2 linked regions of the Daphnia pulex genome follow. The protein of the gene in region 2 binds, or shares a complex with, the protein of the main gene of each other region. Links are inferred from orthologs where the notes say so. Each region holds a gene or a part of one and is shown on either strand. Other genes may lie near its edges.

Evidence for each region.
Region 1: the proteins of DNA topoisomerase 2-binding protein 1-A-like (region 2) and Fanconi anemia group J protein homolog are in contact, whole or in part, in a crystal structure (PDB 3AL3), measured with the Homo sapiens proteins. The link is inferred for Daphnia pulex from reciprocal best matches to the Homo sapiens genes TOPBP1 and BRIP1. Residues at the interface, in NP_008958.2 of Homo sapiens: Leu1272, Ser1273, Ser1274, Leu1275, Asn1276, Pro1277, Arg1280, Gln1298, His1311, Leu1313, Arg1314, Asn1315, Glu1316, Lys1317, Leu1319, Gln1366, Arg1407, Gly1410, Phe1411, Leu1414, Thr1466, Glu1467, Ile1469, Ala1470; in NP_114432.2 of Homo sapiens: Ser1129, Tyr1131, Phe1132, Thr1133, Pro1134, Glu1135, Leu1136, Tyr1137, Asp1138.

The regions. Positions count from the first base shown.
Region 1 is NC_060028.1:9,966,451-9,970,278, reverse strand, and holds part of Fanconi anemia group J protein homolog, read right to left. Parts: coding exon 3,718-3,828; intron 3,568-3,717; coding exon 3,478-3,567; intron 3,319-3,477; coding exon 3,192-3,318; intron 2,116-3,191; coding exon 2,032-2,115; intron 1,942-2,031; coding exon 1,743-1,941; intron 1,682-1,742; coding exon 1,614-1,681; intron 1,543-1,613; coding exon 1,109-1,542; intron 1,034-1,108; coding exon 745-1,033; intron 641-744; coding exon 414-640; intron 352-413; coding exon 64-351; intron 1-63. UniProt on the Homo sapiens protein: DNA-dependent ATPase and 5'-3' DNA helicase required for the maintenance of chromosomal stability. Acts late in the Fanconi anemia pathway, after FANCD2 ubiquitination.
Region 2 is NC_060022.1:4,608,812-4,611,620, forward strand, and holds the end of DNA topoisomerase 2-binding protein 1-A-like, read right to left. Parts: coding exon 2,722-2,809; intron 2,660-2,721; coding exon 1,206-2,659; intron 1,137-1,205; coding exon 923-1,136; 3' UTR 809-922; downstream 1-808. UniProt on the Homo sapiens protein: Scaffold protein that acts as a key protein-protein adapter in DNA replication and DNA repair. Composed of multiple BRCT domains, which specifically recognize and bind phosphorylated proteins, bringing proteins together into functional combinations.

The sequences.
Region 1 (3,828 bases), on a different chromosome or scaffold from region 2:
CCTGTACTATTTGATGGAAAAGTAATGGATAGACCGAAAGATAATTTGAAAAGAAAAACTAACCTGAAGGCTTGGATCTCGTACCACTCACTTCCGTTGAGTAACGGTGTAGAGGCGGACAATTTGTCATTGTATTGGCGTTTCAATTCGACTTGAGTATCTTTGAAATTTGGGAAAGGGATTCCCACACAAATGACGGCCCGGGCATTGTTATCGGTGAAGTCAAGTCCTTCGCTGACTTTGCCTCGACATACGGCCAACATCAGAGCGCCGCTGGGTACGTCACCAGTTTTTTTGCTCGGGCATTCAGACCCATCACCCGAGCCGTCCAAGTCTAAGCAACTCAGAGCACTAATAAAAAAAACACAATTTTTATTCATTGAAATATGGAGAAAGAAAGTAGGCTGGTTTACTTTACGCTGTCTTCGATGGCCGAGTAAAAACTCTTGAGCGTTTCCTCAAAGTCGCGTGAATCTCGCGACTCGCAAACGATGGTTTTGTAATTGGAAAGGTGTTGCCATAGACCCGTGTCCTGCCATCGAGTGACAAGCTTCTCCAATAGACTGTAAGAGGGCAGGAAGCATAAAACACCGTGCGGAATCGTCTGGCAGACGGACAAAGCCAACCGGCCGAGTTCATCCTTGAGTGAAAAGAGTTGGACGGTCAGAAACGTCAACTGCCGTTGCGTAAACCACACCATCGCGGGTACAACATCGGAGAATAGAAAATAAAGAGGAGATTTACCTGATATTCAAAAGTCCCGGTCACCTTGAATGTCCCGTTGAGCAGAGTGTTCCTAGGCCCCTGCGAGATGGTCCCTATCCACACACGTTTGGCTGGAATGACATGATTGGCCTCCAGAGTGAGCTTGAAATCGATATCGAGTTCCGACTGATAGGAGGCCAAGGGTGACAGCGTGCCCGATGTGACGATGATAGATCGCGTACTCTCTTTGATTTCATGCATCACGACAGCCGAATTGAGACACCATAAATTGAGGGCGTATGTCCACTGCGAGGCGATGTTGGCTTTCCTGAAAAGTCCATTTCCAACAAAATAATTGATTGCAAAGTGAGGCATTTTACAACGTCTCCTGGCATTGACTCACCCGAAAAATGACGATCCAGGTCCTTTTTTCTGTTTCCTCTCGACAGTGCGAACGACTACGGCCCGGTAGTCGTCGCGGTGAATTTGATTACCGTTCAACATCAAATCCATAATCATGAGGAATCCTTCGAGGAGAGTTTGAGTGGCACCCGACAATTGTGGATCCTGGCTGCCCTCTTTGTCATTCCAATCCGACTCGAGTTGCTCGTTGAAGATATAATCGATTATCGCCTTGAGTTCGACCAGCATTTCGGGACCGTAGCCGTCGACGCTCAAATTGGCTACAAATTCCGTGCCGGTCATCACGTGAACTTCCCGGTCGAAGCCGACACTCTTCATGTTCGTGGCGTGTTTGCCGATCCATTGCATCATGTAAGACGAGAATTTGGCCAGTCTATTGATTTCTTTTTCCATCGTCGGGTGCCGATTACCGATCTACTCAAGACACAGAACGGAAACAATAGGGGGATGGCCCATCAAGCATTCAATTTTTAAGACTTGTTTACTTTCTCGCAGTCATTGAGAGCCAAGCGAAAATCCTCTTGTGACCAAGAACCTCCAGCTGATTCGCGCGCTGTGAATGTATTAAGTACATAAGCATTAATGCTTAATACATAAGAATTAATGCTTAATACCAGAATCCTCGATGTTATGAGCCTCGTCGAGAATGATGATATTGTCATTAATTGGGATCTTCATCGACTGACGTACCCTCGGATCAATCAGGTAATTGTAAGGGCTAAAGACGATCTGCGCTTGCTCCGACAAGTCGCGCGAAGCGTAATATGGGCAAACCCGAATGCGACGGCCTAAACTCACCAAATCTTCGATATCCTAAACATCAAACAAAATAATCCCCCGCAAAAAAGGAAAAAATCATTTTCATTTGAATCACCCACAATAATAAATTAAAAATTGACTTACCCAACCACTGACCAGTCCATAGTTACGAATTTGAGCTTGCGTCTTGAGCTTGTCTTTGCCTTGCCAACGGTATGAACAACCACCCTGTACAGAGTTGAGGAAAAAAAAAAGAGAAAAATGGACTCATTAAAGTTCCAGTGTGAGTGGACAACTTGTCAGGAATGTCCGCCAAGAACAATTCGACCAGTGTTCCATCGCACAGTTCAATGAAATGAGACTAGAAAAATTGTGGGAAGCATGAACTGAGTCAACAACAATGGTCACTTTGTCATAGGGACGAAAAAAAAAACCTTTCGGAGAAATGAGCGGATCGTCTCGAAAGATACGGAGAATAATTGTCATCATAATGAAAAAAAAACAGGACAAAATGTTTGGCTCACATTACAAAGCGCTGTCGAATCAAAAAAATGAAATAAACCGAAAAATAGGGGGAAAAAGAAGGTGGAGAGAAATATCTAAATACGAAGAAAAAAGTTGCAGGGGGGTTATAATACGAATGCCGCTTTTGCGGTGATTACTACGGTTGGATAATGGATTGAAAGATAGGATTCATTACGAGAAAACGAGACCGCCTTCAAAGAGGCAAAAGAATCAACCCACCAACCATTCCCCTCGTTTTCTTCTCCTTTTTTTCTTATTGAATGAATGAAAAGAAGAAATACTAGAAATGAAATTTTTTTCATGAAAATAAAATAAAAAAAGGGGGAAGTAAAAATTTGATCTTGAAAGCGTATCATGTCTCAACGTCGGCGTCTTGAATAACCGGATGGTTTCATGGCTCCTCCTTCTTCACTGTCTTCTAATGACGGGCAATTAAACTTGAAACCAGTCATTTTCATTTTTTTTTTTTTTTTTGTTATCCCCCCACCCAAGTTCTTTGATCTCATTTGATCGTATTTGACGCTCGGGCGATCACGATCGTTCTTTAAATGGCAAAACAAGTTGAATGCGTGATTCTCTTGGCTGGCAGGTAACAGGTTGATGGCGAACAGTTGTTACCGAGGAGGACGAGATCAATTCTCGGAAATCATTAGATAGATACAAAAGAGGTATACTACACTTTTACGGTGTAGCTTGTTCGATTTCCCTTTTTCGCTGGAATCGGGGTGGGGAAGAAGGTCGCGCAACGAGAGACGAGGAAATTAATTACGCGCTTTTACCTTCTGCTGCGGATCCTGTTTGGCCAATCGTCGGTCATTTAGTATTTTGCAACCTTCGTTTTTGTTGGCGGAACGCGACACTTCTGGATGGATGCAGGTGTGTTCCCTGCTGGCCAGCACGCCCATCCTGTAAAATTTCGATCGACAAAGCCAAAGTCGAATGGAATGATAAGAGAAGAAGAAAAATATCTGTCTCAAGTCTTAAGATTTAAGAAGGAAATTCAAATGAAGGTAAGCTGGGAGAGGGAATAAATAATAGCTGTCGAGGGCATCGTGTGTGACTCACGGAGTATTGCAGTAGACGGTGCGGCGGAATTCTTTGACCACTTGAGTGATTTGCTTGTGCGTCCGCGTTCCAAAAAAGATCTTGGGAATCCTGGAATGGATGCGCAAGAGTAAACAAGCTACTGAGTTGAACGCGCCATTCCACACACACACACACACAGAAAAAACAAACAAACAAACAAACAATCGCATGCGATTATCTCGATTTGTCGGCCCTGACAAAGCGGGCTACTGTACGTACTTTTGCTTCCGTTGAATGAACGGCTGTTCGACAGGTGACTCGACGCTTCCATCGCCGGACAACATCACTCTTTCCGTCTTCACGTCTTCCATTTTGATTGGAGCCGACGAT
Region 2 (2,809 bases):
TATCGTAGTATTATTTAGGTTTCATTAAAATTTTTTATTGTCGCTGTGGTCTCTTTTCTTCCACAAGTCCACAACACTGTTTCACGCTTTAATTTCTCGTTTTCGTCTGCTTTGGTTTCTGAATTTAGTTGATTTAGTTACTGAAAAAAAGGTCTCAATCAAAATCAAACCAGTCAATTCAGTAAAATAATGAAATAAAAAGATAATTTTCTCTAACGATAAACCTTCACAAGAATCCTAATTACGTAAGTTTATAATAGAGTTAAATCTTGCTTTGATACGTTGCGCAATCCAAAAAATTATTGCATTTGCACTACTCATTATCTTTTAATGTAATTCATGTAGAGTACTGAAAAATGTAACAGTTTTAAATATTTTTACAGCAGATTCACGATTGAAATGGATGCATTGAGAAAAATTGTAAGACCCGTGTGCAGCAACCTGCAACAACTCTTTATGTTTTCACCTGCTGTTTTCCCTGTGACAGTGTCAAGAACATTTAGTGCATTATCAATGAGAATTCCCCAAACTCTGAATGTGCAAAATCAACTGTTAACTCCTACTGTTCCTTCACTAGTTCCTAGTTGTGGATTCAAAGTTGTGGGGAAACCGATGAAACGTTGCAAAGACTGCTACAAAGTGGTGAGACAGGGAAGGGTTCATATCATTTGTAAAACTAAACCAAGGCATAAACAAATGTCAATGAAGAAAGATGAAGACAAAACCTGGATACTTACATCTGCAACAATGGGGCCTAAGCGTCTTTGGTAGTTTTGTCATCATTATGTACTAGTTATCAATACAATTCTGCAGGAAACTAGAAATGATTGTATTTCATGGACTTATCTAAGTATCTTTAAACATTTTCTTAAAAAAAAAAGGTATTTTTCACATTAGATTATTCAAATAAAAAGAAAGATAGTTAAGAAGAAGGCATGTTTTCGAGATAAGGAAGAAATTCTTGTAAAACAGACTTGCTCCATTTTAACTTCTTGTCAGTAGCCAGAACAAGATTTCTGAGATAAATCAATGGAACGCAATAAATGCCTCTATTGGCAAACGATGACAACTGCAACTTTTTCGCTTCGCGAGAATCCAAAATGCACAAGTTCGTCTTCTTGTTTTCCAAAGCCGAACTAGAAGAAACGTATAAATAAATGAAAATAATGAATGAAAGAAAACTCTGAACATCCTTATTATCATACCCTTGGTCAACCACCTTTCCGCCACCAGCTTCAAGTAAACGCTGGAAAGAAGCATTTTTCTCGCGAAGGTATAAAACAGCGGTAATTCCGTGAAAAGGGCCACCAGATACTCCTTGACTGCGATTAATACGCCAATAATATGCAGCCGCAGCAATGTTAGCTTCGTCCTCGGTAATGGATTCGGATTCTGGGTAATCCACCGTGGCTTCTGGATTGCCCCATTCAAATTTAGCTTCCTCAAGGAAACGTTTTTCTTTTTCGCTTTCAATCAGCCATTCTGGATGAAGGATCCATTTTCCAGCAGCGATCGACGTCAACAATTTTTCATTAGATCCAACTTTGGCGACGACAAGGTGAGTACACGTTGGGTCGTATTGGTTGGATTCAAGAACGGTTCCTCCCAACTCTTCGATAACAGCAGTACAGCTTTCACGATCGTCTAGTGCCATTCCAGAGAACATGACACGATACGTCTGAGTATTGTTTAGCTGTGAACCGGTTGGCTTTTGTGTCTCGTGAAGATCCCACACAATTGGAGCAGATTGCGAATCTACCGTTTCCAGAGGTTGCGTTGCGGGAACGAAGACGTGTTCAGGTCCTCTACCGTTTCTAGCCCCCGAAACGTTTGTAACCTTTTGCAGAGGAATCTGCTCAGCTGAACGTGATAGCACTTGGTCTAGTTGCAAAAGTTCTTTGCATGCTTCTTCCTCTACGTCTGGGACGACAAGATTCTCTTGTTCTTCATTAGTTTCAAGAAGGTCGTTTTCACGTGGCTCACTATCAGATGATAAGCGCTTACGGGAAGGAATTCTAGGAGTACCCGTTTCGCTGGAACTGGCAGGAAGGCGTCGCTTCTGGGTACAACTAGACGGCGGTGCAGGTTGCGAATTGAAATTCAGTGACAAAGCCATTTTCGGATTCAAAGATGGTGGATAATGCGATTCTTCTAGACGATTCGAAGTATCTTCACAGTCTAGGATCCATTGTGGTGAGACAAATTTCTGGTGCCAATCTTTTGCGCTTCGAATCTCTTTGGATGCAGCTAGCTTGCCCTGATATATGAAATGAGTTACCTCCTCGCAGTGTTGGAAACGAACCTTGCCACCCAGATTTTCAACTGCTTTTACCAACTCGGTTCTTTGGTCTTCAACTTTCTTGTGTATGAATGCCACCACTCCATGAAAAGGTGGCTTTGGTGGTTCTAAGGGTGATGCTGCCGCTGAATTTTCCTCATCCGGTTTCCACATGGCTTGTGCTTCAACTCCACTTTCATCAAGACGCAATTTTTTCCGTAAATTCAAGAAATAATCCGAGTCTTCGGGGGAAACCACAATTTCTCCTTTCTGAATATCTTGTGGGGTAACGTTAAGGGATTCGTCCGCGCGAGGCGTCAAACGAACTCGATTTTCCAATGCATGTTTCCACAATTTTCGAGTTTCGGGTGACGGGTCCGTCTACAAAGAAGAAAAATGCTGATTCCTTTCTGACGATTAAAAATTACAAACTAAAACATTACGTTTAAAAGCCTTCCATATGGTGTATCGGGTGTAGGCATGTTAAAAAGAGATGGTCGAGCTTGAGGTGTTCTACCAATATTATTTGCA